Macaca mulatta: one gene and its partners. The main gene of each other region encodes a partner of the protein of the gene in region 7 in a complex. Links are inferred from orthologs where the notes say so. Each region holds a gene or a part of one and is shown on either strand. Other genes may lie near its edges. The genes, in order: PLRG1, CRIPT, RNF113A, SNRNP200, EFTUD2, RBM48 and PPIL2.

The links.
Region 1: PPIL2 (region 7) and PLRG1 share a complex: the UniProt entries of both Homo sapiens proteins name them as parts of the minor spliceosome. The link is inferred for Macaca mulatta from reciprocal best matches to the Homo sapiens genes PPIL2 and PLRG1.
Region 2: PPIL2 (region 7) and CRIPT share a complex: the UniProt entries of both Homo sapiens proteins name them as parts of the minor spliceosome. The link is inferred for Macaca mulatta from reciprocal best matches to the Homo sapiens genes PPIL2 and CRIPT.
Region 3: PPIL2 (region 7) and RNF113A share a complex: the UniProt entries of both Homo sapiens proteins name them as parts of the minor spliceosome. The link is inferred for Macaca mulatta from reciprocal best matches to the Homo sapiens genes PPIL2 and RNF113A.
Region 4: PPIL2 (region 7) and SNRNP200 share a complex: the UniProt entries of both Homo sapiens proteins name them as parts of the minor spliceosome. The link is inferred for Macaca mulatta from reciprocal best matches to the Homo sapiens genes PPIL2 and SNRNP200.
Region 5: PPIL2 (region 7) and EFTUD2 share a complex: the UniProt entries of both Homo sapiens proteins name them as parts of the minor spliceosome. The link is inferred for Macaca mulatta from reciprocal best matches to the Homo sapiens genes PPIL2 and EFTUD2.
Region 6: PPIL2 (region 7) and RBM48 share a complex: the UniProt entries of both Homo sapiens proteins name them as parts of the minor spliceosome. The link is inferred for Macaca mulatta from reciprocal best matches to the Homo sapiens genes PPIL2 and RBM48.

What each region holds. Positions count from the first base shown.
Region 1 is NC_133410.1:163,143,382-163,148,057, forward strand, and holds the start of PLRG1 (pleiotropic regulator 1), read right to left. Parts: upstream 2,999-4,676; 5' UTR 2,925-2,998; coding exon 2,916-2,924; intron 1,537-2,915; coding exon 1,430-1,536; intron 452-1,429; coding exon 309-451; intron 1-308. UniProt on the Homo sapiens protein: Involved in pre-mRNA splicing as component of the spliceosome. Component of the PRP19-CDC5L complex that forms an integral part of the spliceosome and is required for activating pre-mRNA splicing.
Region 2 is NC_133418.1:78,210,779-78,214,105, reverse strand, and holds the end of CRIPT (cysteine-rich PDZ-binding protein), read left to right. Parts: intron 1-1,206; coding exon 1,207-1,310; intron 1,311-1,597; coding exon 1,598-1,662; 3' UTR 1,663-2,477; downstream 2,478-3,327. UniProt on the Homo sapiens protein: As a component of the minor spliceosome, involved in the splicing of U12-type introns in pre-mRNAs. Involved in the cytoskeletal anchoring of DLG4 in excitatory synapses.
Region 3 is NC_133426.1:126,364,599-126,368,516, reverse strand, and holds RNF113A (E3 ubiquitin-protein ligase RNF113A), read left to right. Parts: upstream 1-1,861; 5' UTR 1,862-2,076; coding exon 2,077-3,111; 3' UTR 3,112-3,218; downstream 3,219-3,918. UniProt on the Homo sapiens protein: Required for pre-mRNA splicing as component of the spliceosome. As a component of the minor spliceosome, involved in the splicing of U12-type introns in pre-mRNAs. E3 ubiquitin-protein ligase that catalyzes the transfer of ubiquitin onto target proteins.
Region 4 is NC_133418.1:5,013,735-5,017,963, forward strand, and holds part of SNRNP200 (U5 small nuclear ribonucleoprotein 200 kDa helicase), read right to left. Parts: intron 3,791-4,229; coding exon 3,682-3,790; intron 1,811-3,681; coding exon 1,702-1,810; intron 1,253-1,701; coding exon 1,063-1,252; intron 966-1,062; coding exon 801-965; intron 611-800; coding exon 489-610; intron 207-488; coding exon 63-206; intron 1-62. UniProt on the Homo sapiens protein: Catalyzes the ATP-dependent unwinding of U4/U6 RNA duplices, an essential step in the assembly of a catalytically active spliceosome. Plays a role in pre-mRNA splicing as a core component of precatalytic, catalytic and postcatalytic spliceosomal complexes.
Region 5 is NC_133421.1:69,231,627-69,235,358, reverse strand, and holds part of EFTUD2 (116 kDa U5 small nuclear ribonucleoprotein component), read left to right. Parts: intron 1-386; coding exon 387-469; intron 470-1,563; coding exon 1,564-1,650; intron 1,651-1,886; coding exon 1,887-2,013; intron 2,014-2,212; coding exon 2,213-2,300; intron 2,301-2,920; coding exon 2,921-3,039; intron 3,040-3,165; coding exon 3,166-3,260; intron 3,261-3,732. UniProt on the Homo sapiens protein: Required for pre-mRNA splicing as component of the spliceosome, including pre-catalytic, catalytic and post-catalytic spliceosomal complexes. Component of the U5 snRNP and the U4/U6-U5 tri-snRNP complex, a building block of the spliceosome.
Region 6 is NC_133408.1:126,859,007-126,863,235, forward strand, and holds part of RBM48 (RNA-binding protein 48), read right to left. Parts: intron 2,998-4,229; coding exon 2,852-2,997; intron 696-2,851; coding exon 127-695; intron 1-126. UniProt on the Homo sapiens protein: As a component of the minor spliceosome, involved in the splicing of U12-type introns in pre-mRNAs.
Region 7 is NC_133415.1:31,323,292-31,327,520, forward strand, and holds part of PPIL2 (RING-type E3 ubiquitin-protein ligase PPIL2), read right to left. Parts: intron 3,259-4,229; coding exon 3,209-3,258; intron 2,066-3,208; exon of another isoform or gene 1,687-2,065; coding exon 1,641-1,686; exon of another isoform or gene 1,276-1,640; coding exon of another isoform or gene 1,256-1,275; coding exon 1,193-1,255; exon of another isoform or gene 788-1,192; intron 481-787; exon of another isoform or gene 353-480; intron 1-352. UniProt on the Homo sapiens protein: Has a ubiquitin-protein ligase activity acting as an E3 ubiquitin protein ligase or as an ubiquitin-ubiquitin ligase promoting elongation of ubiquitin chains on substrates.

The DNA of each region.
Region 1 (4,676 bases), on a different chromosome or scaffold from region 7:
GATGGTATCCCCACAGGTTAAGAATATTCTCCAATTTTTTCCTTTAATCTCTACTGTGACCTTCTCCACATTCTAAGAATCTCTGCCATCATTATACTACCATTTTTATTTCCTATAAGAAAAAAGTCATCAACCAATGTCTCAGTATTCCCACGAGGATAAAAACTTCCATTATAATACTGGTACAGCCATTAAATACTGTATGACCACACCTAAGTCCTGCCAGCAGGGGCAAAAATAACACATTTTATTTTTCTATTTTTAAAATTCACACATACGTCTGACATTTCTGATAATACCATACTCACCTTGATTGGCAGGGTACTGTTTATGAACATATGAATCCGTTGCATTCTGAGGACCCTTCTCTTTAAGATTTTCTTTCAAAGTAGGCATATGCAACACAGGACCATACTCATTACGAAGCTTGATTGCCATCTTCCGTTTGTGACTATTTAGAAATTATAAACATAAGAACGTATCCATAAATACTTTAAAACAAACACTTAGACAGCTTAAGTTTGCCCAATCATGTAGGAAAAGTTTCTAGTAAGATTTTAAGTAGTATTTAAAAGAATCAAAAATTTCCAAGTGCATTTCCCCACCATATCTGTTCTTTTGCTCACATTCCACCACACAGCATTCATTAAACCTAAGTAATATTTTAGTTTGTTACCTAATAGAAAATATTTTATGATAAATTATCAAGGGTCTGCTTGAAAGATATATAGAAACTAACATACCCTTTAAGAAACCTCAAAGTCAATACGCTTTCCTTCAAAATATAAATATAGTAAAAACTCTATAGCAACCTTTACTAGATGTATCCAAACAGGTTAGTTAGAACTAAGAAAAGTACTTAATTGGTTCAATATTTTAAAAAGAAATGCACTTATATTACTTTTAAAAATAGTCTACTTTACAAATTAAATATAAATGCTTGTTTGAGGAGTTAAGTCGATTTTAAAAGGGTAAAGGACAAAGAAGGAACACTGCACATAATGCAATCCCAGACTGGAGCTGGATATGTAGAACCAAAAATATGCCACCACTCAAAAATCTTCATCATACTAACGAGAAAAGATGGGAGTAGAGGTACCGGCCAGGTACAATTTCAGCTCAGCAAGGCTCTGAGAGCAGCGGGAAGCTGAAAGCACATACAAAGTGATTGATTATAAAATAAAATACCTAAAAGGGACTCTCTTATTTACTGGGTATTTGTAAAATGCAATTAATTAATGGAACTTTTACTGTAAAAGGCCAAAAAAAAAAAAGTTAAATCAGCTTAAATTATGCCAAAACACCACTCATTATTGAATTAGCCCATGAGTATTGCCAGTTTATCTTTAAAGGTCTCCCTCTTCCTGCTCTCTTCCCCCAGTATTAGAATGTTAAATATTTCAGCAATTGAAAAAAAAACTATACCAACCTCTCTTCATCTAAAGGCACAGGTTTTCCATTATCAGCTACAAACATGTCATGGGTCCTCTTCAATGACCTGAACACAAGTGTGTGTACAGAATGTTTCTGTACCTCCTAAAAAAAAAAAAAAAAAGTAATTACACACCTATCTACAAATTACACAAATCATAACCTAACGTCAGATTGATTATACACTTCACATGTTTAAATATGTAAAAAGCTTTATACCACTCACCATAGCTACTTGTTGCGAGCTACAGGAGTCAAGTTCAGAGAAGAGGAGGAAGCTCCTCTTTGGCTAGAACCTCAGGTATAGCAACTGAGTGATGCCATAGTTTAGTCATTTACTCAATAAATATTTACTGAGCTCCTACTGTGTGTCTGGCAGGTATCGTGCTAGACTCTCACAATAGAATGATAAAAGGTAGTCATGGTCCCTGTGCTCAAGAGGAAACAGACAAATAAAAAGTAAAATAATTCCACATTTTGATAAGTGCTATGAGGGCAACAAGCAAGGCACTGGGTCAGGAAACGAAGGACTAAGTATAATTGTGAAAGACTTCACTAAAGTGATATTTAAGCAGAAAGGGAGTTAGCCTTGCACAAAACAGAGATAAAAACGAACCAGGCTGATGGAAATGTCATGTAAAAAAATGTCATGTAAAAAAATTATTAACTGAAATAATACAAGAAGGGCGGCACAGCTGTATATGGTGGATGAGATGGTGCTTTGTGGTTGCAAGGGTAGACAAGGTCCAGATTAGGTAAGGTATTTTAGACTATTACAACAGCCTATGTTTTCTTCTAGCAACACAGTCAGTAAAGGGTTTTAAACAAGAAAGGTATGAACAACTTACATTTTAAACAGAACAACTTATGGAACAAAATGGAAGCAAGGAAATCAACGGGGAGCTAATGCACCAGGCCCGGTGAAAGATGATGTTGGTCTCAATTAAGGTGGACTGCAGTGGATACGGAGAAAAGTGAACGGAATCAATAAACATGGGGGGTAACATGGATAAGACCAGCTAACAGAATGGCTGGCTGTTCATGCCAGGGAAAGATGTAAAGAATGGCAAGTTTTTCTGGGAGTAGAGTTGAAATAAGAGACGACTTGAACGCAAGATAGAGAAGACCGCCAATCTTTTCGGGCACAGAATCACTGACACTGCCCCGAGGGCGGCGAGTACCAGTGGTCGAACACCAACAGAGGCCCCGCCTCCAAGGACAGTTTCCAGCTCCCAAGAGTCAAACGAGGACTGGACGAATTATCTCAGGCTTAGCGCCCGGACTGAACCTCCGACTCGGGTTCTCATCCGGCTTCTACCCCTTCCCCGAAAACCCGATGAAGAGACCACCCGGCCTTGGCCAAACAGCTTCCCTCGTAGCCTCTTTTCTCTCCGGACTCCAAGCACTCTCAATCCCCCACGCCCACTGCCAAAGAAAAACAGTCCAGAGACAAACGACTCTTGAGAGTCCCAGTGTCACTTTACCTCGACCATGATGCTACCGCGTATCCCACCTCCGGCAGGGAAGAAACCCTAATCACTAACGCAGTACCCGCCGCCACAACTGTGCTGCACCTTCCGGAATTGGGAGGCCAGGCGGCGGATGTGATGCAAGCTCTGCGCACGCGCGCTAGTCTCCCCCGGCCCTCTGGGATCAAGAGGCGGGTCTCCCTCCTCAGGACCGCCCCTAGGGCGGAGGCTCGAGGCTGTAGAGGGGAGACACCTGGAAGCGCCTGACTGGAGGATTTCACTCGCTCCTCTGAAGAAGTCTTCGAATTATGTTTTCTGCCTTACCTTCAGCCTTCAATGTCTTGGCTGGGGCCCTGGTTGTTCATGCTGTATTCCCCGGAGTTTAATGCTTTTTATTCAGAGAGCCTAAGCGTCTGGAGAGCAAACTCCCGTGGGCTCTATCTAAGGCGCTTCCGCTGCCTTGATCTCTTTGGAGGTCGCCTGCTTGCTTTCTGTCTCCTGGTTCCAATCCTGGCGAGAAGCACTTGGACACTTGTAGGCTTAACACCTGAAAACAATTTCTCTTAAACAGTTCAGTAAACACTTGCTGAGTGAATGTTGAGGAATGGCTGTTTTAATTTGGAAAATTTTGACATGTAGATATAAGAAAAACCCATATTCATTTTCTGCTAATAGATTTTTTTTTTTTTTTTAACTTCTCAACGCTACATAGCTCTTGGCCATTTCCTAGTTGTCTGCTGATTATTGTGGCTTCAACAATGCCAGGGTACAGCTTTTCAAAGCTGGTAGAAGAAAGACACAATTGGAGACTTTAGCCATTTTTATTTATACATATCCTTGTGCCAAGTATTGGTATTTTTGCTTCCTACCCTGGTAAAATCTCCGGTTTTGATCAACCCTACCTAATTATTTTTCTATGTAAAAAGAAAAATGGATGGACTTGGGCATTTGCAAACTTAAATAGACAAAACATTTTACTGGCCCTGTTTCAGTTTCACTGATCTGTCCTGACAGCGTACTGCATACACTTTGAGAGGGGGAAACAATCTAGCAAAAGAATAGCAGTGTAAATCAACGTCACTTGGAAATTCATTAAAAACATTAAGGTCATGGTTTTTTGTTTGTTTGAGAGGGAGTTTTGTTCTTGTCGCCCAGGCTGGAGGGCCATGGCGCAATCTTGGCTCACTGCAACCTCCTCCTCCCGGGTTCAAGCGAGTCTCCTGCCTCAGCCTCCGGAGTAGCTGGGATTACAGGCGCCCGCCACCACGCCCGGCTAATTTTTGTATTTTTAGTAGAGGCGGGGTTTCACCATGTTGGCCAGGCTGGTCTTAAACTCCTGACCTCAGGTGATCTGCCCCTCTCGGCCTCCCAAACTGCAGGAATTACAGGCATGGGACCCCGCGCCCGGCCTTAAGGTCATGTTTTTGCTTGAAGATAAAACATCCCTGAATTTGACTGTGAGTTTGTCCTAAGAACTGATTTTCTGTAAAAGTGGCCGGTGATGGTATTTCCTTGCAAGAAAATACTATAATTAAAAAATATATACTTGAGGAACTAAATAATATACTCACCTATGAATAATAACTATAGAAAACAATGATTTGAAATGACAATAAAACCATAGAAACCTAAGCAAGACTAATATCTATGGAAATATATTAATTGTCTGGTTGGACAACTTTTTACATACTTAATCATCCTGGAGACATTAATTTATAGGCCCAGACTCATAACAACATGGTAATGATTGAGGTAAATTGCCTCGAATTTGCTCCT
Region 2 (3,327 bases), on a different chromosome or scaffold from region 7:
CCCAGCACTTTGGGAGGCCAACGCAGGCGGATCACCTGAGGTCGGGAGTTTGAGACCAGCCTGACCAACATGGAGAAACCCCGTCTCTACTAAAAATACAAAATTAGCTGGGCGTGTTGGTGCATGCCTGTAATCCCAGCTACTTGGGAGGCCGAGACAGGAGAATCGCTTGCACCTGGGAGGCAGAGGTTGCGGTGAGCCAAGATCACGCCATTGCCCTGTAGCCTGGGCGATAGAGTGAGATTCCATCTCCAAAAAAAAAAAAAAAAAAAAAAAAAGTGATATTCTCTATGGTTTGGAAAAATCTTTGTAAATGGGCTGTTATGCTATACCCAAGAGGAGACACTAGGTCTAGGACAGTGTTTCGTATCTGGTATATGAGGATCATTACAAAAACTCATTTTGTAGTTAGGGAAGCACAGTTAAAGCAGAGTATTATTGCCATTTTAGGGGGAAGTATTTCTTTTTTTCACTCCAGTTACTGTAAGATGGCATTTTTATATAGTAGAAGCCCTTTTATCTAAAAGGATTGAGTCAGTTAATTAAAAATGTCAGCTAATGTAAGCAGTCATTAAAAGATACACATACCTTATTTTAACTTAAAGCACATAACTGTAGATGTATTAATCATATGGTATTGAAACAAAGCCTTTTGAGCATAAATCAACTGATAAGTGCTCTACATGATTGTCGTCACAAAAATCACAATCAGAATATGTTCAGTATCTTTAAAGTGGAGCAAAAATTGATGCTTGAGGTATGGAGTCCTTTCCTAGTGATTTTCCCCCAGTTGTCAACAGTTGTCTTACCCATACCTAATTCAATAGCAATTCCGATTATTCCTGGTCGTCCTAAAGTAGTCACTTAGGTTTTATGGAATCAGTCACTCTTTTTGCACCGACATTTCATCAGTTTCCATAATATTTTTGTCACACAAATAGAATGACAGATACAATTGATACGAACACGTCAAGAATAAATTCTGTACAACTGACTATAAGTATATATCTCACATGGACGGAGCAGAGCAGAGATGTACAGGCATATCAGACAGTAGCCATCTGGAATAGGCTAAACCCATCAATTGTAGAGGTTGATGGAGGGATGAAGAGCATGGATTAATCCTGTGTGTTGCGTAAGTGGGGTTATTTAAGAGTGTGTTTCTAGTGTAATATACAATTTTCTCTCATTAAAAAAAATTTCTAGATTTGATCCATATGGAAAGAATAAGTTCTCCACTTGCAGAATTTGTAAAAGTTCTGTGCACCAACCAGGTTCTCATTACTGCCAGGGCTGTGCCTACAAAAAAGGTAAGTTTCTTTTAATACCTTTTTTCTATTCATAAAACCTACTTCATTTGCTGCTAATTTGGTTAACAGAAACGATGTAGCCTGTCATAAATTCTGTTAACCAAACACTCTTTATCCTAAGGCAAAATGGGACGTAAAACCTGTTTATAATTAAAAGTATATATATATATATATATTTTTTTTTTTCTCTTCTGATGCTGTTAAATTATATTTTAAGCTTCAGGATTGACTTAAACCAAACAGTTGGTATTATGATTTGATTGATCACGTATCTTCTTTTGTTTCAGGCATCTGTGCGATGTGTGGAAAAAAGGTTTTGGATACCAAAAACTACAAGCAAACATCTGTCTAGATGTATTGATGGAATTTCTGACTTTCTAAATGATTTTACTTTCTGCCTTGAATTTTCAAGGCATAGATGTCAACTTACAGAATAACGTGTTTTAAGACAATTACGTTTAAACCAGAGAATTTGATTGTTATTCATTTTGCTCTCATGCTCTAAACAGCAACAGTGTAACTAGTCTTTTGCCGTAAATGGTTTTTTCCTTATGAGCATTTTATTGAACTAAGTGGCAAATTCCATGAAAAATTTCTCAGTTCTGTATGCACTTTAAACATTATTCATGTAATTCTCCCCCACACACACTTTATTTATAGATACTGCAAAAGTGAGAAGGAGGTAATAGATATTTTGCTCTGAATTTGGCATCCAGAGTTAACAGTTCTCCCCTAACTCCCTTACTCGTGTCATAGTTATTAGGATCAGCAGCCTCTTAACTAATTGCAGTTTCATAGGATGTATAAATGTTTCAAGCCATTATTGCTGAATGGTTCTTTAGTTATTAACCTAGACCCAAATCAAAGACCAGTTTTTATTTGTTCTTGCCGCCAAAGTGCCAGTTCCTTTAATATGTGACCAGGAACACAAGGAATATCCATATATCCAAATAAACACACTGAATTTTAGAAAAACTTATTACTTTGAATTCAAATTGTCATGAAAACCAGAACAGTGTTTGTCCATGTTGCATGTAATGAACATAAATCCCTGCTCTTTGAGAAAAGCTCTTTGAAGCAAAAACCAAACTTTTTGTTTTTTTACCTCCTGTCTCCCTCCCTAAAAGAAATAAATAAAGCAAACATCTTGACTCTCCCTTTTTAAAATTTGTTTGTTTGTTTGTTTGTTTGATACAGGATCTCACTCTGTTGACCAGGCTGGAGTGCAGAGGTATCATCAAGCTCTCTGCAGCCTCCATCTGCTGGGCTCAAGCAATCCTTCCACCTTACCCTCCTAAGTAGCTGGGGGCTACAGGTGTGTGCCAGTGAGCTCAGCTAGTTTTTATTTTTAGTAGAGACGAGGACTCGCTATGTTGCCCAAGCTGTTCTCAAACTCCTGATCTCAAGCAATCCTCTGGCCTCAGCCTTCCAAAGTGCTGGGTTACAGGTGTGAGTCACAGCACTTGGCCTCTCTCTCTCTCTCTTTTTTTTTTTTTTATACTACAGGTTTCAAATGAGTACTTTTCTTATGTTGCCTTCAGAGGTTCAGGACTTCTGCTTTTAAAATCTGCAGGCTACCATGGGAGACCAAAAAAGCATTCCCCATTTCCAACTGCAGTATGTATAAATACGTATCACTATAAAATGTGTAGAATAGATAGTGTGATAAGATTTATGAATGGCATTTTTATTGGTCATAAAATTTTGATGAAAAGCATTTAAAGTTTTAACTTTATAAGGCTTTTCAAAATGTGTTTTTTTGAGATACCTTGTTATTCATATCCACAAAGATTATAAGGATAATGCAAAATATAATAATTCATCTGAGAGCAGGAAGTATCCTCTCATGCTTAATCAGTTTGATTAATTGATTATAATTTTAATTTTAATTAAAATTATAACACAGGGAACTCATAACAGGACCTGGTCAGAGAGTGTCCCAGAGCCATTAAAGATTGGATTTGTTGACTTGGAGAAAAGTACGTTTCTCAGGGATCGACTGGAATCTGGACTTGCC
Region 3 (3,918 bases), on a different chromosome or scaffold from region 7:
AGACAAAAAATTAAAAGTCTAGAATATATAAAGAACTATAGATTGAAAAGAAAAAAGACAAAACAATAGAACAGGCAAAGGATATAGGCAACAATCCACAGAATAAGAAATATATGACAGTAAGAAAAACTAAAAAAAATAAGAAACATAAAAGATTAAATATGTAAAAAGATGCCAACCTCACTAGTAGACAAGAAAATGCTAGTTATATATTAGCATTGTATGACCCTTGGCAAGGCATTACCAGAACCCACCTCAACCCTGGCAGAAGGCTGGCATCAGAGTGGCTTCTTACCTTTGACACATAGTGACGATTAACTCCAGAGATGCGCCTATCTCTTTCCATCAGATTCCAGTGATACCCAAAATGAGCAATCCTTTTTTCCTTCAAATAAGAGACAATTATTGTTGCAGTTTATAAAAGTGAGTGACCCAGTTGATGGATATTACAATTTTTAGAAGGGACATTCTAGAGAAATGGAATCATCATTCAAATAAAAATGCAAATTAGTAGTACAAGAACAGAATCTCCTAAATAAAATCAGACCACTACACTTTAGGATTAAGTTGGTGACCGTGACTTCTTACACTATTTTAACCAACATGAATTTCTTTTCCTTTTTAAAAAAAAGAAAAAAAAAAGAAATATCTAGTTGTTGCCTTTTGGGACACTAAGAAACAACAGCTGTAGATCACACGTGGACAATCACAAATTCAAAAAGTAAATAAATTTATACTCTGTACTCTAGAGATGATGTGAAGGGCTAAGAGGGGAAAATGAATCCTGATGTAAAACACAAGACCTTGCAGTAAATTCCTAAACGCTTGCAAGAGAAAGTGGGGAATAAAAAAGTCAAGGGTGGCCGGGAGCGGCGGCTCACGCCTGTAATCCCAGCACTTTGGGAGGTCAAGGCGGGTGGATCACCTGAGGTCAGAAGTTCGGGACCAGCCTCGCCAACATGATGAAACCCCGTCTCTACCAAAATAAATAAATAAATAGCCGGGCGTGGTCCCGGCTACTCAGGAGGGTGAGGCAGGAAAATCTTTTTTTTTTTTTTTTTTTTTTTTTGAGACGGAGTTTCGCCCTTGTTGCCCAGGCTGGAGTGCAGTGTCGCGATCTCGGCTCACTGCAACCTCCGCCTCCTGGGTTCAAGCGATTCTCCTGCCTCAGCCTCCCGAGTAGCTGGGATCACAGGCATGCGCCACCACGCTCCACTAATTTTGTATTTTTAGTAGAGATGGGGTTTCCCCATGTTGGTCAGGCTGGTATCGAACTCCCGACCTCAGGTGATCCGCCCGCCTCGGTCTCCCAAAGTGCTGGGATTACAGGCGTGAGCCACCGCGCCCAGCCAGGAGAATCTCTTGAACCCGGAAGGCGGAGGTTGCAGTGAGGGATTCTCAGGCTTGAGCCACCTCTTCTAATCTACCTTTCCGGCCCCCGCGTCGCTACTCTGCCCTAAGGCCCACTTTGATACACCCAGAAACGCTGTTTTTCACCAGAGCAGGATGTGGTTTCTACCGCGCTTCGTTTCGCAAGCCTCGGCTTCTAGGCAACCGGAAGAAAATAGAGGGCCGGCCTCGGAGAGAGGGTCCGCAGGCTGACGGACTCTCTGCCCACCATCCTTTTCAGAAATCAGCCAGTGGAGTCAGCCCCCGGGCCCAGGAAGCCGCCTTACCTTGCCCCCGTTAGTGAACCTCTGGATGTACGCAGTAGCCAGTCCTGGAATAAACAAGCACACGCCCATGGCGGCGAGTCCGGGGAGAATCTCGAACCACATCTCTGCCCCGTTATCTAGGCCAAAACCCTACTTCTGGGTCCTTGAAAGGTGACCGGGCTTCGGCTCCCTTCCCAGTAAGCCCCGCGGCCGCCCGCGAGCGGGGCGGTGCCACGTACGGCTCCGGAGGAAGCGACGGGATCTGCCAGGGCTCAAGAGAGGCTGGCGCTCGCGCTCTCGCAGTTCTCTTCCGTCAGTGTCTTTTGCTTCGACTCCCGGCGGAGCGCGCGACGTGGAGTAACGCGCAGAGGCCAAGTGCAACCCAGGCAGCGACGGCCGTTTCGGAGCTCGGGACTCTAAAATGGCAGAGCAGTTTTCTCCAGGGAAGACGGCGGATCAGGTGTGCACCTTCCTTTTCAAAAAGCCTGGGCGGAAAGGGGCTGCTGGACGCAGAAAGCGCCCGGCCTGCGACCCAGAGCCCGGAGACAGCGGCAGCAGTAGCGACGAAGGCTGCACTGTGGTTCGACCGGAAAAGAAGCGGGCGACTCACAATCCAATGATACAGAAGACTCGTGACAGTGGTAAACAGAAGGCAGCTTACGGCGACTTGAGCAGCGAGGAGGAGGAGGAAAATGAGCCCGAGAGTCTCGGCGTGGTTTATAAATCCACCCGCTCGGCGAAACCCGTGGGACCAGAGGATATGGGGGCGACAGCTGTCTATGAGCTGGACACAGAGAAAGAGCGCGATGCACAAGCCATCTTTGAGCGCAGCCAGAAGATCCAGGAGGAGCTGAGGGGCAAGGAGGATGACAAGATCTATCGGGGAATCAACAATTATCAGAAATACATGAAGCCCAAGGATACGTCTATGGGCAATGCCTCTTCCGGGATGGTGAGGAAGGGCCCCATCCGAGCGCCCGAGCATCTACGTGCCACGGTGCGCTGGGATTACCAGCCCGACATCTGTAAGGACTACAAAGAGACTGGCTTCTGCGGCTTCGGAGACAGCTGCAAATTCCTCCATGACCGTTCAGATTACAAGCATGGGTGGCAGATCGAACGTGAGCTTGATGAGGGTCGCTATGGTGTCTATGAGGATGAAAACTATGAAGTGGGAAGCGATGATGAGGAAATACCATTCAAGTGTTTCATCTGTCGCCAGAGCTTCCAAAACCCAGTTGTCACCAAGTGCAGGCATTATTTCTGCGAGAGCTGTGCACTGCAGCATTTCCGCACCACCCCGCGCTGCTATGTCTGTGACCAGCAGACCAATGGCGTCTTCAATCCAGCGAAAGAATTGATTGCTAAACTAGAGAAGCATCGAGCTACAGGAGAGGGTGGTGGTGCTTCCGACTTGCCAGAAGACCCCGATGAGGATCCAATTCCCGTTACTTAGCTGTCTGATAATTCTTAAATTTAAAAAATAAATATTTTGTTCTTTTGGAAGTCTTAATTCGTGTCCTTCCTTTGTAGAGACAGTGACAGAGAAGGCGGGTGGTGAAGTAGGGTCCTGGATTAAAAACCTCAAGGTAGGTATAATCAGGATTTTTAGCCCTAGGATAACCATTTTGCCTGTGTTTCTTTTCAGAACATTTTGGCATCAATTATAGGGGTGGGAGTAGTTTGAGAAAAGAGCTATAATTTGCTTGAAGTAGCCAAAGCTATGACGAAAGTAAGAACTCTGAGCCTGTTTATCATATCACATTTCTGTATCACTTAATGGTTTACAAAGTACTTTCATGCATTCTTTCTCTTGGGAGCCTGTACTACAAAATATACCGGAGCCAAGGTGTTGGGGAGAGGGGTTGCGTTTGGGGAATTGGTAGCTAGTACCACAGGCTTCACATATGGGAAATGTTCCTTGCTGTCTGGGTTATTTATTTATTTATTTATTTATTTATTTATTTTTGAGACGGAGTCTCGCTCTGTTGTCCAGGCTGGAGTGCAATGGCGCTATCTCAGCTCACTGCAACCTCCGCCTCCCGGGTTCAAGCGATTCCCCTGCCTCAGCCTCCCGCGTAGCTGAGACTACAGGCGCTTGCCACCACGCCCAGCTAATTTTTTGTATTTTTAGTAGAGACGGGGTTTCACCATATTAGCCAGGATGGTCTCCATCGCCTGAACTCGTGATCCGCCCACCTCGGCATCCGCCCACCTAGGCCTCCCAAAGTGCTGGGATCACAGGCGTGAGCCACCGTACCCG
Region 4 (4,229 bases), on a different chromosome or scaffold from region 7:
CGGGGTTGCAGCTGAGATGTCTAGAGCACCACTGGCCCCTGTGCCCCACACCCACACCCTACCTTACTAAGGATTTCCTCCGTATCTGACTGCAACTCAGCACTCAGCTGCATGCGGGACAGGTGAGCCTGCAGGAGCAGGTTGGTCTTGACGTGCGGATCATTGAACTTAGGGTTATTCAGCTTGTGGGGGACCTTCTGAGCCAACTACAAAGTGGAAGAAAAATAGTTGGTGATGAACAGGTGACCCTGCCTGAGACTGGCTCAGGCCAAAGCACCACATGGCCCAGGCTCACAGCCCTTCAACACCCCGAGGCACGTGGGTGGCAGTGGGATGGAGATGAGTGTGAGGGAGGTATGGAGGGGAGGACATATGGTGGGGGTCGGGGGATGCATAAGGGGGTGTTGGTGGCAGGGACGCCATGTGCTCTGGGCACACAGGCAGAGTTCGTTGTTCCCAGGACGTTCTCCTGAAGCTGCCGTCCTCACCTGCCTCAGCAGGTTGTCTTCATGGTGCCGGATGGGAATGTTCTCGTACTCTGCCGCATTGGAGATGATCTCGATGAGCCCTCGCACCTTGGTCTTGGCATTGAGGGACATGCTGAAGAGCTCTGACAGAAAAAGGACATTTGAGAGAAGCCGAAAGCAAGCGGAGAAGGAGCAGAACTGCCTGGGCTGCCCTGCTCTCCCCTGCAGTGTCATCCCGCTGACAGACACGGGCAGACCTCTCATCCCAGTGGGCTCCTGACTCCTGTGTGAGAAGGCTCCTACAGACAGGACACGGGCCGTGCTGGGCCTCACCAATGGTGGTGTAGTTGATGTAATAGTAGGCAGCGATCATGCCCAGGTTCAGAGGTGCCACATCCATCTCGTCCTCGATGCTGATGCACTTGGACTGCTCCAGGTCACTCAGGGTCTGCTCCACCAGCTCTGACAAGTGGTCGGACAAGTGACGATGGGAGATGCCTATGGAGGTGAGAGGTGAGTGGGGAGCCTTGAGAAAATGCCCAGCAAAGGCTGTGGGAACCACCAAAGAATCACGTGTGCTCCCAAGCGCACTGACCCTGCAGGTTGTAGTAATTGGGGTTCTGTGTCATGCGGCGGTACAGAAAGGTCCAGGTGAGGTAGTCCACAGCATCCTGCTTGTTCTCAATGGTCTTGGTGACGATCTCAGCATTGAAGTGGTCATGCATACAGTGGTCCAGATGAGACTCCACTGGCAATGGCTCATATAAGAACTTCTTGAAGAAATCCTGTGGGTTGGAGAAGCAGCAGCATTAATCAAGAATTAGTGACAACATGGTCACAAAGGGCCAAGGGCAAATCAACAGGGCATGGTCCCCGTGCGAGACCTAACTAATACCAAAATGGAAGAAGCCACAGGTTTAGAAAGTGCGTCACTGGCGACAATACGCAGTGGGAACAGAGGCACAGCAAGTCACAAGGGCAGAGCAGTGGGCAGCCCAGTGAGGAAGGAGGGAACCAACTAGCGGGCAAAGCCCTCAACACATGGAGCCAACGGCAGCAGCAAAGGCAAAAGGCAGCAAAATTCCAAACGGGTGGCAGGCTCGTTACAAAAGAATTGTGTAAATAAGAGAGGCAGAAGTTAAGAGACTAAAATTACTGAAGACGTCTATCAAAAGGATTAAAGAATCCATTCTGAGGCTCCGGATCCAAGAGGCTGCATGAATCCAGGACTGACCTTCTTGGAGCCCTGACACATGATGACGCAGCGTCCCTCATCATCCTGCAAAGGGCGGTTGGCGTGACCCACCATCTGAAGCACGTCATAGATGGGGTAATCCACATAGCTGGTGACAGATGCGGGGAAAGAAGGAAAAGCCGCCTCAACACGGAGACCACGCTCAGGAGGCCCGACTCCCTTCGCCAATTAACAGTAAAATGTAAATACGGGGAGGCGTGGTCAAATCACAGCACGACTCTGTTTATGAATCTCTGCACTTAGAACTGGCTTCACTGGCTGGCCTCTACATCATTTTAGCATTCAGTGTAAGGGCCATGAATTTGCTGCTCAAGTGCCATGAACCAAGCTACAAAACTATCTAATGCCAAAACCAAAATAACTCCCTATTCGAGGATCAAATATGTAAGTCAAACTTCCCAAACTTTTCTCCTTTAATTAAAAAAATTATTTATTTATTTGTTTGTTTGTTTTTTGATAGAGCATCTTGCTCTACTGTCCATGCTGGAGTGCAGTGGCACAGCCACGGCTCACTGCAGCCTTGACCTCCTAGGCTCAAGGGATCCTCGCACTTCAGCCACCACAGGTGCGCACCGCCGCACTTTCCAAACTTCACAGCTGTGCATTTCATGAGTCATCAAGTCACCTGACTTTAACCCAACCTAGAAGCAGCCTCAAACATTAAAAATGAACCCGTAAATAAAATTCACTTCAAACTAATCCGCATTTCGGGAAAAAGTTATTAAGCATTGGGCCAGGCACCATAACTCACGCCTGTAATCCCGGCACTTTGGGTGGGTGAATCATTTGAGCTCAGGAGTTCAAGACCAGCCTGGGCAACACGGTGAAAACCCATCTATACAAAAAAAAAAAAAAAAAAAAAAAAAAGCAAAAGTTAGCTGAGAGTGGCAGCACATGCTGGTAGTCCCAGCTACTTGGGAGACTGAGGCAGGATGATTGCTTGAGCCTGGGAGGCAGAGGCTGTAGTGGGCCGAGATCATACCACTGCATTCCAGCCTAAATGACAGAACAAGATTGTCTCAAAAAAAAAAAAAAAAAAAAAAAAAGCAGATGTTTTTCTGAGAATGATTGACTCTTCTAACTTTTTTTTTTTTTTTTTTGAGATGGAGTCTCGCTCTGTTGCTCAGACTGGAGTGCACTGGCGCGAGCTCGGCTCACTGCAACCTCCCCCTCCCGGGTTCAAGCGATTCTCCTGCTCAGCCTCCCAAGTAGCTGGGATTACAGGTGCGTGTCACCACACCTGGCCTTTTTTTTTTTTTGAGATGGAATCTCACTCTGTTGCCCAGGCTAGAATGCAATGGCACAATCTTGGCTCACTGCAACCTCTGCCTCCCAGGTTCAACTGATTCTCCTGCCTCAGCCTCCTGAGTAGCTGGAAGCACAAGCACGTGCCACCACGCTCAGCTAATTTTTATACTTTTAGTAGAGACGGGGTTTCACCGTGTTGGCCAGGCTGGTCTGGAACTCCTGACCTCAAGTGATCCGCCTGCCTCAGCCTCCCAAAGTGCTGGGATTACAGGCATGAGCCACCGCGCTCAGCACTCTTCTAGCTTCTTGTCAATCCGCCTGCCTCAGCCTCCCAAAGTGCTGGGATTACAGGCATGAGCCACCGCGCTCAGCACTCTTCTAGCTTCTTGTCACTATATAGGTGTATGACCTTGACCAAGTCGCTTTTCCTAATCTACAAGATGTTTGAGGTTAATGACATAATGTCAAACATTCCTCCTGGCGCTAACTGCCTACCTCTCCCAACTGCGGAATGTGGAAGCACAATGACTAAAAAACAAATGTGAGCCTAGGTATTGAGACACAAAACTCCTAAATACTTGGCTCTGGTGGCATCTCAGCTGTTAACTTCCCTAACACCTTTCCTTCATCCTAGCTTGCTTTCTGTGTGTCTGCAGATTCACACTCATTTTAGGAAGGTCTGGGCTAACACAGACCACCAGCTGTACTCACGCGTGGATCTTGCCATTGTAGTACTGGGTGTCCATGATGATTACCAGGTGGGCAGCCACGTTCATGCCCCAGCAGAGACTCCGAGAAGCCACCACCACCTGGATAGCCCCTGAGCAGAAAAGGGGAGAGAAGGCTGAGGACAGGGGTCTCTGGGTGAAGCAGGTTCACTACCTCATGGGCAGGCCGTGGCTTACCCTGTGTTACGTTTCAGAACTCACAGCAAGGCGGGCTAGGAACAAGGTCTAACATGAATGAGAGGTAACACATTGCTATGAGATAGCTCCACGCTGCTGATGCCTTGCTCTGGGACTATCCAGGAGAAAACAAGTCATCATAGAACAGAACCCAAAGCCCAGGAACACCAAGGCATAACTACTGCTGATGGACTGCTCCTCTGACCGGAAAGTGCTAACACTCACGCAGCCATGGGCTGGCTCAGCCACGCCAGCAAACCGGAGGTCACTCTAAGCATGCCCCAAACAGGCAGATTCAAGGGCCAAAGAGTAACAGGAAGTGATTCTGGCAGGAGGATCTCCAATGAGGCTCCA
Region 5 (3,732 bases), on a different chromosome or scaffold from region 7:
GGTTGAGAATGGCACGGGTGCACACCAGTGGGTCTCTAGCACCAGCTCTGTCAGACCCATGGGGGTTGTTCAGTGAATGGTGGTGGACAGCCAAACGGATGCTGAGAGCTATCTTGGAAGACTAGAATTAAGGCCCTAGTTTGATATCCCACTTATTCTTGGCTCAGGAATCTAATTTCTTTACTACAGTAAATTTTCTCGGGCTTTTTGGTGATGGTTTGGACAGCTCTTTTAACCTGCTGTTGTACTTGTCACTTGTGCTGATTAAGGCAGTTGGGATTTTCACAGAGGTAGTGTCAAGGGGAGCTTCTGAATTCCCTTAGGTAAATGGTTGCCCTTCCAACAAAATTAGACCTCGCTTCAGTAATTTATTTTCTATTTCCCAGGTGGCTGACCCAGTTGTCACGTTTTGTGAGACGGTGGTGGAAACATCCTCCCTCAAGTGCTTTGCTGAAACTCCTAATAAGAAGTAAGCTGGGAGCACAGTGTCCCCGGGACTGCAGCCTCCAGGACACTCTCTCTCCTTTATCTTCCACCTCCACCCCCACCATGAGCACTGTGCACAGAGACCCCTACATCTCAGAATGGGGGGTGCTTACAATACTTGAGTTTCACTCCAGCCCTCTCAGCCCTTCTGCCTTTGAACGCAATGCCATGGGATTATTCACCTTGGATATTCCCAAGAGGAGTTTCATAACTGCCACTTCACCTCTATAAAATAACTATCTTAAAAGTTTACTCCAGGCCGGGCGCGGTGGCTCAAGCCTGTAATCCCAGCACTTTGGGAGGCCGAGACGGGCGGATCACGAGGTCAGGAGATCGAGACCATCCTGGCTAACACAATGAAACCCCGTCTCTACTAAAAATACAAAAAAATTAGCCGGGCGAGGTGGCGGGCGCCTGTAGTCCCAGCTACTCGGGAGGCTGAGGCAGGAGAATGGCGTGAACCCGGGAGGCGGAGCTTGCAGTGAGCCGAGATAGCGCCACTGCACTCCAGCCTGGGCGACAGAGCGAGACTCCGTCTCAAAAAAAAAAAAAAGTTTACTCCAAACCTTACTCGCTTTTTGGTTTTTGGGTTTTTTTTTTTTTGACACAGGCTGGAGTGCAGCCTCGACTTGCTGGGCTGAAGCAGTCCAGCAGCTAGGACTGTGGGTATACACCATGCCATCTGTTAATTTTTTTATTTTTTGTTGTCCAGTCTGGTCTTGGACTCTTGGGCCCAAGTGTTCCCCCCACCTTGGCCTCCCAAAATGCCGGGATTACAGGCGTGAGCCACTACGCCCAGCTGTTTGTTTTTAAGAGGCAGTGTGTTGCTGTATCACCCAGATTGGAGTGCTGTGGTGTGAGCCATAGCTCACTGCAGCCTCAAATTCCTGGGTTTAAGTGATCCTCCTGCCTTGGCCTCCCAAAGTGCTGGGATTATAGGTCTGAGCCACCACACTTGGCCCCCGTGGCTTTCACCGATATTACTTCCTCAACTGTCCATCTTGTTACCCTTTTCTTAGGAATGCCTCTTCTGCTGTTCTGTTAGCCGTCCTTACCACCCATTTCCATTCTGACCAGGAACAAGATCACCATGATTGCTGAGCCTCTTGAGAAGGGCCTGGCAGAGGACATAGAGAATGAGGTGGTCCAGATTACATGGAACAGGTGAGAGGAGGGCTCTGACACCAGGATCGAAAGGAGGCAGGGATGCCGCAGCTTACCTGCCGGGTCTCTAAGAGCACACATCTTTCTGGGAAGCATTTATGTCTTTGCCGTTGCTCTTGTTCTGGGCACAGTGGGTAGGATGAGGTGACTGTCTTCCAGGAAGGGAGGGTCTATGGCTCCAGGACCAGCAATCACAGAGCTGGCCGACAGCTCCATTGTCCCCCTCCTTTCCCCAGGAAGAAGCTGGGAGAGTTCTTCCAGACCAAGTACGATTGGGATCTACTAGCTGCCCGTTCCATCTGGGCTTTTGGCCCTGATGCGACTGGCCCCAACATTCTGGTGGATGATACTCTGCCCTCTGAGGTACAGCAGAACTGATGGGAGCCGGGTGGCAGTCTCTTACCTCTGGAGTGGAAGAAACTACAAAGTGTTCTTTTCCCAAGAGTATCTTGTGTCCTCTGATGAAGGACAGTATCCCCTTACAGGCACATCTATCTTCTCCCTCTAAACGCTTCAGCTGTTGTCAGGGTGACTGCTAAGGAGGCCTCATGTTTCTCTGTAGGTGGACAAGGCTCTTCTTGGCTCAGTGAAGGATAGCATCGTTCAAGGTTTCCAGTGGGGAACAAGGGAGGGCCCCCTCTGTGATGAATGTAAGTCCACCAGCACTCCCCCACCCCAGTCCTCGAGGGTCCTTGCAGCCAGGCATATGAGTGGGATGGGCTCACCATCTTTAGGACCCGGCAGGAGAAGCAGCTTGGGGTACACAGGACCATCCCGTGTCCTGGGCCAGCTTCTTCCCTTCTTCCTTATCCTGGTGGTGTAGCCTGGAAATTTAAGTCATTTCTAAACTGTCATTTGCTCCTCATTTCTGAGAAGGGTTTGGCCTTGGACATATTTGAGAAGAGATACCAAGAGGATGATGAGATTGGAGTGGTTAATAGACCTTGATTGGGCTTCGTGCACCAAATGTACAATTCTGGAATTCTACATCCACAAAAATGTAAATATGTGCAGAAGAAAGAAATAAACTTCTAGGAAAGCTCTATGTCTGAGCATGGCCTGAAGCAAACACTAAGAACCTATGCTTAACTTCTGACCTCTGCCATGGGCCTTGCTTATTCAGTTAGAACGCCCACCTCCCATGTGATTTTTGTATCATGTCTTTCATGACTGCAAGACAGCTGCAGTGTTGCAGGAGACTGCTACTCCACCATGGCCCTGTGACAGGCCCAGAACCTCTCCCCAGTCACTGCCTCCACCTCCTTTACAGTGATTCGGAACGTCAAGTTTAAGATCCTGGATGCAGTGGTTGCCCAGGAGCCCCTACACCGGGGTGGGGGCCAGATCATCCCCACAGCCAGGCGAGTCGTCTACTCTGCCTTCCTCATGGTAAGAGAATGGGGCTGTAGGAGACCATCTGCTTCGCTGGACTGTGGACTAAGTGAAGGAACAAGTGGGACTATAGGCCCTCAGCCTTCCCTAAGCTGAGGGACCTTTCTTCTTGCTCTGCTGCAGGCTACTCCTCGTCTGATGGAGCCTTACTACTTTGTAGAGGTCCAGGCCCCTGCAGATTGCGTCTCTGCAGTTTATACTGTCCTGGCCAGGCGCAGGTGAGCAGCCCCAGCCCCAGGCATATTAGGAAGAGTGCTGAGAGCAAGAGCAGAACAAGAGTCACCTCGGCTCCTGCAGGGAGGAGAGATTGGCCTCCCCTACCCTCCTCACTCTGGAAACCCTGTGAGCTGATTTTCTAGAAAGAAGTAGGAACAGAGGGAGGCAAGCCCCAGCTTTTCTGCAGATTAAAATTTGACATTTCTCCATCCTGGCTAACAAGGTGAAACCCCGTCTCTACTAAAAATACAAAAAATTAGCCGGGTGTGGTAGCAGGCACCTGTAGTCCCAGCTACTCAGGAGGCTGAGGCAGGAGAATGGCGTGAACCCGGGAGGCGGAGCTTGCAGTGAGCCAAGATGGCACCACTGCACTCTAGCCTGGGTGAAGTATGAGGCTCCATATCAAAAAAAAAAAAAAAAATAGACATTTCTTTGGGATCCCCTCCTCACAGAGCTGTTGGAGGAAGTGCTGAG
Region 6 (4,229 bases), on a different chromosome or scaffold from region 7:
TATAGAAAAACACATCAAAAAACTAAAAAGTGAAAAAAATTACAATACTATTGTTCCCACAAATAATTCCCCATTTAGTCCTATAACCAAATCGTCTCTTAGAACAGTTTTTAAAAATAACCTTACCTCTTTAAGTTTATTCCGAATTAAATTCGCAGTTGTATTCAATGAGTCATCGTGCATATCCACTTTAGACATGTCTGGTAACAGAGGTCCAATCATAACCTCATTACTACCTGAGTTTGTTTCAAGAAAAGTTCCAAGTTTACGATCATCTTCTCTTCTTCTTTTGCGCTCCTGCAGTTGTGTTGTCCTAGGCATAAATCTGTCAACTGCCTCTGAAGACGTAATAGCCTTTTGCGCACCAGGGTAGGCCACTGAGTTCTTAAAAGTGTTTATCTGTGTTTTCTGCAAAGAGTCATTGTGGTTATAATGCCCCATTGTTTTATGATGATTTCTACCATCCTTAGAGGAGTTTGATGCTCTGTCCACATGTCCCCCGGATGAACACATACATTTTGAGGAGAAATAACATAAAGGCAATTCACAGGAATACGGAAGATAAGGATTTGAGTTCCCTGCAGAAGTGTTCAAAGCAGCTTTACAAAAGCCAGACATCTCTGAGTGGAAGTCTTGTCTAAAATCCTCTCTGTCTTTATGCTCTGTAACCAATTTCTTCTTTGTCACGTTATGGTCTTTATATTACAATTTAAAAGTTGAGGGAAAGAGAAACATAAGTGGTTAATTTATTGTTTTCATCATTGAGAATCATATAATTTTTAAAAATCACTTAAAAACGTTAACAAATTATACTCCAAAAAAACTGTTTCTTGAGAAGGGAATATATTCACATGGTTTAAAACCTAAAACGGATAAAAAGATATACAGCATCAAGTGTCACCCTTTCCTTGCACTCCATGGGTCTGGTTTCATCCCCATAAGTAATCACTATTGTTTTTTATTTATCTGTTCAGTAAGTTTTACTTTGCCACCTTTCTCCCATTCTTTTTCTCCCCACTAAAAAAGGTAAATGTAATATCCATTTCTCTGCACCTCTGCATTTTCCATTTCACTGTAGATCTTATATAGGTTTTCCATCATTATACAGAAAGTTGTTTTTTTTGTTTTTTTTTTTTTTTAACAATTTCAGAGTATTCCACTATCTGGATGTATCATGCTCCTTAGCTTGTGTTTGTCAGTTACTAAAGAAAGCACTATGCTTGTCCCACTTCTAGGGCTGGCAAGGGCCTCTTCCCTGGTTTACTCTCCCAAAAGCAGTCTACAACATGGAGTGTGGAAGATGTGGTAAAGATGAAATTGGCTATGTGTTGATGATTGTTGATGTTAATATTAATACATGGGAGATGTATTAACTTAGTCTTTCTGCCTTTGTGTTTTGAAATTTCCAGGCCGGGCACAGTGCCTCACGCCTGTAATCCCAGCACTTTGGGAGGCTGAGGCAGGTGGATCACGAGGTCAGAAGATCAAGACCATCCTGGCTAACACGGCAAAACCCCGTCTTTACTAAATATACAAGAAATTAGCCGGGCGTGGTGGCAGGCGCCTGTAGTCCCAGCTACTCGGGAGGCTGAGGTAGGAGAATGGCGTGAACCTAGGAGGCGGAGCTTGCAGTGAGCAGAGATCACGCCACTGCCCTCCAGCCTGGGGGACAGAGCTAGACTCCGTTTCAAAATAATAATAATAATAACAATAACTTTCATAATAAGAGTTTTTGAAAAGTAAGACCAAGTATACAAATGCATCGCACAGATGCTAAAATGCTGATGAAAGACAGCTTAACTGAAGTGTCCAAGGCCAAGCAAGTCAGGTTTAATTCTGAGATCAGCAGCACGGCAAAAAGATCTTAAGAGGAAGGGGAGCAAATAATGAAGATAACCCTAGGCTGTCACACCAACACTGAGATAATTAAAGCAGTTAAAAAGTAAGCTCTGGAGAAAGAGTCCAAAGCTTGGGTTTTAATCCTTATTTTTGTCCTTAATTCATCTGTAATAATATAGGCCGGTCACAAACTTTCTGAGACTTAGTTTCCTCACCAAGAAAAATTAGGACACAGGTCAGATAATGTCAAAGGTCTTTCTCCACATTAATGTTTTATAATGTCCTTTGTCATACAAACACATTAAGTTTTCCTGGTGCTATTTATTTACTTATCTTACAAGTTAGACTTCAATGGATACAGATGACTGGGGATTCTCAACAGCTCTCTTGCCAGATTTCTGAGTAAGTTTTCCAAGAGTTTTCCCACTTTATTTCTCTCTACCACTATCTGGTAGAAGGGGCATATGGGGGCATTTAGTCAATTGCTGGTCAAAAGTAGAACTTCTCCATGATTAGCAGTGACAACTAGTCTGCAAATCATAACTGCTTCTCACTGCATTCTGGTCAAAGCCTTAATTCCTTAGCATGGGACACAAGGCCCTTCATGATTCACTTCTTATCCACTTTTCTAAACTTATCTCTCACTGAAACCTTTGAGCTTTGGTTATACTGTATTAACTAAATTTCCTTAAATGCATGATGCTCATTTATTCCTCTAAACACTTAAACATCCTGCCTGGCTTGCCTTTCCATCTTTTCCTCTCCCTTTTAGTTAATGTCTACTTATCCTTCAAATTTCAGCCACTTCTCACATACTGTAGGAAGTCTTCTATGAACCAACATTTCTCCCTTCTCAACCCAGATTATGTAGTGTGCTGAAGAGAACCCTTACAGTTACTGAATACTGTGATGCTTTACTTGCCTCTCCTCCCACTAGACTAGGAATTGCATGATGATACACCTGGCAGAGTACCTGACATACAGGAGGCATTTAGCAATATGCTTTCCATACCTTTATTTTCAGTAGTTTTTACTACATATGCCTTCCGCACTTGTAGTTTTTTTCTAGTTTCTTCAACTGTTTCAAATTCTGGCGCATAGCACACATGAAGCAATCCACCGAAGAAACTCTGTTCATCCATTTTTCTCTTGGCTGTCCTGAATGGAAATATAAGATAGCATGGTTTTTTAATCTAGATTTACTTGGGATGAAAGCTTAACTAGTATACAATATCTGGATCTAAAGAGCAAAGTCCAACTTTTGCTATGTGTATATATATCCTGTGGATTGGCAATTAAGATGCTCTGCTTGTGGACAGTATTCATCCCATTGTTCGAGTATGTACTTAGAGCCTCCCCTTTTCTTCCCTTCGAGCCTCTTTGTTCCCTAGTCTTTAAACAACTAAAGACCCAGCTGGTTGGCCTGAAGTATATAAACTGTGGTCATAAAATAGAGCTTTTCTCTGTGGCCCTGAAGAGTTACTTCATACCCAATTAAGCTTTTTCAGCACAATGTATTTCTGTAATGGGATTCTTGCCTTAAAAATCAGATGAAAAATACTATAATCATAAAACGTTCAATAACTGAGGAACTATTAAACATATAACAATGAGAAAATGAGAAGAATGTTATTCAGTCAATAAATACTTACTAAACATCTATGATTGGCCAGGTACTACAATAAATTTAACTACTTCTGTATCCAGGGATAATGACAAATACTTGCTCAGATTTTACCATATGCCAGGCAATGTTGTAAGTGCTTCACTTGAATTAACACCTAACAACAACCCTGTAATGAAACAGAAGCACTGGGACATTACATAACTTAGCCATGCTCATACTCTGGTTTGAGGAGCAAGGATTCAAATCCAGATGTCTTACTTCAGAGCCTACTAGACTAGGTACTTTGGAAAACAGAAAAGCTCGAGAAAATATTTCTCTAACCATGACAGCTGGCAGATTGGTTAAGAAAGTGAGATTACATATAACAGCAGCCTGAGAAAACCACACATGACCCAGTAAAATCAAGTGCTTTTGTGGTAGATTATGATTTCTACTGATAGCACATGAAAGAAAATATGAATTGTAACAGCCAGAGAAGGATGGGTCTCAGAGCAGATTAGTGAGGAGAACAGAGATCAACATAAAAATAGATAAGGCATTGCATACTTCAGCCTTTTTGGAGCAGAGGGTTTATGTCACATAGAAGGCCGGAAAACACTGAGTCAATTTGCAGAAAGGAGTAACAGTAGAAACCACAATAGCTAATGCTTACTGTATTCTGACCAGGAGGCACTCTGCTAAACCCTTTATATGGATTATCTCATTTCATCCTCATACAACCTCAAGAAGTAGATAGGTCCCTTTACCATATAGATTTTACGGA
Region 7 (4,229 bases):
ACAATTAAATACTAAGCTAGCATCAAAAACTATACTTTCAAGCCAGGCACAGTGGCGTGTGCCTGAAATCTCAGCTACTCAGGAGGCTGAGGTGGAAGGGTTGCTTCAGCACAGGAATTCAAGAGTGTTGGGATTACAGGCATCAGCCACCGCCTCTACTAAAAATTTTAAAAATTAGGCCAGGAGTGGTGGCTCACACCTGTAATCCCAGCACTCTGGGAGGCCAACGTGGGCGGATAACAAGGTCAAGAAATCGAGACCATCCTGGCCAACATGGTGAAATCCTGTCTCTACTAAAAATACAAAAATTATCCAGGCGTGGTGGCACACACCTGTAGTCTCAGCTACTCAGGAGGCTGAGGCAGGAGAATCGCTTGAACCCGGGAGGCAGAGGTTGCAATGAGCCAAGACCGTGCCATCGCACTCCAGCCTGGCCTGGGTGACACAGTGAGACTCCGTCTTAAAAAAAAAAAAAAAAAAGCCGGGCGCGGTGGCTCAAGCCTGTAATCCCAGCACTTTGGGAGGCCGAGACGGGCGGATCACGAGGTCAGGAGATCGAGACCATCCTGGCTAACACGGTGAAACCCCGTCTCTACTAAAAAATACAAAAAACTAGCCGGGCGAGGTGGCGGGCGCTTGTAGTCCCAGCTACTCGGGAGGCTGAGGCAGGAGAATGGCGTAAACCCGGGAGGCGGAGCTTGCAGTGAGCTGAGGTCCGGCCACTGCACTCCAGCCTGGGTGACAGAGCGAGACTCCGTCTCAAAAAAAAAAAAAAAAAAAAAAAAAGGGACTGAAACATGAAAAAAATTACAGAAGCATATGCTGGAACGCAAAACTGGGCATAATGCTTCCAAATACTGCACACAAAAGGTACATGCCATAATTATGGCTCTGCTTTCATAAAGTAAAAAATATGCAGTTCATTACCATTCTAAAACAGATCACTGTGTCCAATTAGAACACTAGGACCCCCACATGGAGGGGTGTGGGGTGGTCTACCCCATTCCAGGCAGTGACAGCAGCACCTGACAACTAGAGCTGCCTGCCTAGGGGTCACAGCAGCACTGCTGCCATGTTCCCAAGGCCCTAGCTGTTACTTCTGTGTCCCCAAGAGCCCTACCCAAGGGTCCCCTTCCTTAATGGGTGTTGAGAATCTCACATTTGTTAGATCGAAATTCAAGGAAAAACTCACAGCAAATCAAAGACGACGCCATCTGGAGTACAGACTGGGTAGACGAAGGGCTGCAGAGAGAGACTGAAAAAGGACGGAGTCATTACTGGTGAGTTGCCAGGTACCCTGGTCAGGATGTGGGCTGGCTGAGCCTGGCATGGTGACCTCCTGAGATGCTGTCCCAGGGAGCCCTCTCCGGGCAGCCTGGCCACTTCCCTCTCTCACCAACCTTCTCCTCCAACTACAGTAGTGGTTGTGCCACCCCTGGTGAAGGACCAGAGCAGGATCCAACACCAAGGTAAGCTCCTACCATCATGGCGAGGACTTCGCATCTTCTCCCAACGTGAACTGAGGAGCCACATCTTCAAAGCACACTTTTACGCATAACCCCACATCCACAAGGGGCAGATTCACTATCAGAGCATCAGAGAACAATTCCAAGGGAAAGGTAAACTCACAAAACTCTTACCTGCAGTGGTCAAAAGGTAAACGACGAAAATTTGTTTGTGGGAGATCTGTTTAAAATGAAACAAAAAACAGAAATCTTACTCTGCAGTATTTCATCTATGTGTTTCAGTTACAGCATATGAAAAAGTTCATGGCTGGGCGCGGTGACTCATGCCTGTAATCCCAGCACTTTGGGAGGCCAAGATGGGCGGATCACGAGGTCAGGAGATCGAGACCATCCTGGCTAACACGGTGAAACCCCGTCTCTACTAAAAATACAAAAAAATAGCCGGGCATGGTGGCAGGCATCTGTAGTCCCAGCTACTCGGGAGGCTGAGGCAGGAGAATGGCATGAACCAGGGAGGCAGAGCTTGCAGTGAGCCGAGATTGCGCCACTGTACTCCAGCCTGGGTGACACAGCGATACTTTGTCTCAAAAAAAAAAAAAAAGAAAAGAAAAAAAAAGAAAAAGTTTGTGCAAATTTTTAAGTACAGCAATTGCTGTGGATTAAAAACCTTTTTTTTTTTTTTTTGAGACGGAGTCTCGCTCTGTCGCCCAGGCTGGAGTGCAGTGGCGCGATCTCGGCTCACTGCAAGCTCCGCCTCCTGGGTTTACGCCATTCTCCTGCCTCAGCCTCCTGAGTAGCTGGGACTACAGGCGCCCGCCACCGCGCCCGGCTAATTTTTTGTATTTTTAGTAGAGACAGGGTTTCACCATGGTCTCGATCTCCTGACCTTGTGATCCGCCCGCCTCGGCCTCCCAAAGTGCTGGGATTACAGGCGTGAGCCACCGCGCCCGGCCTTAAAAACCTTTTAATAGATATAAACCAAAACACTCGGGGTACATCGAAAAAGAACTTACAGGGAAAAGTGCGTACTTTTTTAGTCCCATTAAAATTATGACAGTGCTCTTGTTATTGTAGTCTTGATAGTTTTGACAGCTGAAAATATTATCATTCTTTTTATTCCTTATAAACTTTTTTTTTTTTTTTTTTTTTTTGAGACGGAGTCTCGCTCTGTCGCCCAGGCTGGAGTGCAGTGGCCGGGTCTCCTCCGCTCACTGCAAGCTCCGCCTCCCGGGTTTACGCCATTCTCCTGCCTCAGCCTCCCGAGTAGCTGGGACTACAGGTGTCCGCCACCTCGCCCGGCTAGTTTTTTTGTATTTTTTAGTAGAGACGGGGTTTCACCGTGTTAGCCAGGATGGTCTCGATCTCGTGACCTTGTGATCCGCCCATCTCGGCCTCCCAAAGTGCTGGGATTACAGGCTTAAGCCACCGCGCCCGGACTCCTTATAAACTTAATAGAGAAAAAACATTTAAATGTAGATGTAATTTTGTATTTTATTTACTTATTTTTTACTTAGCTCCCAGCATTGGGGAATATTTTAATCTACATTTTACAAAAACCACCACTAAGAAGAAGCATGTTCTTCTTTCTTGAATATATTTCTCTTTCGTGAACTGTCCTCGGCCCATTTGTCTACCACAGTTTCCGTGTTCTTGTTGTCTATTTTTACAGCTCACTGTATCCTGAAGACACTGTTCCTTAATACCACTCCCCCAACGGGGAACAGAAAGACCGCAAGCCTTACCTGGCTTCTTGCCACCATAAAAGTGAGTATATTCAGCACAAGTAATGTACCTGAAGAAGAGAGGAAGATAATGCTATGACCACCACCTTTATACAGAGAACAAAGTCTTTGGAAGTGAGTAATCTTTGCTTATTCCGCATATGCTTATTAAACACCTATAAGCATGGGACGGGCATGGTGGTTAATGCCTGTAATCCCAACACTTTGGGAGCCCGAGGTGGGTGAATCACTAGAGGTCAGGAGTTTGGGACAAGCCTGGCCAACAAGGTGAAACCGCGTCTCTACTAAAATTACAAAAATTCGCTGGGCGGCCGGGCGCGGTGGCTCAAGCCTGTAATCCTAGCACTTTGGGAGGCCAAGACGGGCAGATCACGAGGTCGGGAGATCGAGACCATCCTGGCTAACACGGTGAAACCCCGTTTCTACTAAAAAAATACGAAAAACTAGCCGGGCGACATGGCGGGCGCCTGTAGTCCCAGCTACTCGGGAGGCTGAGGCAGGAGAATGGCGTAAACCCGGGAGGCGGAGCTTGCAGTGAGCTGAGATCCGGCCACTGCACTGCACTCTAGCCTGGGCAGCAGAGTGAGACTCCGTCTCAAAAAAAAAAAAAAAAAAAAAAAAAAAAAAATTCGCTGGGCGTGATGGTGGGTGCTTGTAATCCCAGCTACTCAGGAGGCTGAGGCAGAGAATTGCTTGAACCTGGGAGGCAGACGTTGCAGTGAACCGAGATCGCACCACTATACTCCAGCCTGGGCGACAGAGTAAGACTTGTCTCAAAAAAAAAAAAAAAAAAAAAAAAAAAAAAAAAAAAAAAAGGATATAGTTTATTCTTTAGGCGTAGGGGTGGGTAACTTAACCAGGGAAGTTGTCTGGCATGACTATAGGTTCTATTTATAATTTGGTATCTTATTGCCACAAAGAGTCTGTTTCATCAATCTTATTTCTATTTCTTTATTTTTATTAAAAATTAGCCACCACGCTCGGCTAATTTTTTTTTTTTTTGTATTTTTAGTAGAGACGG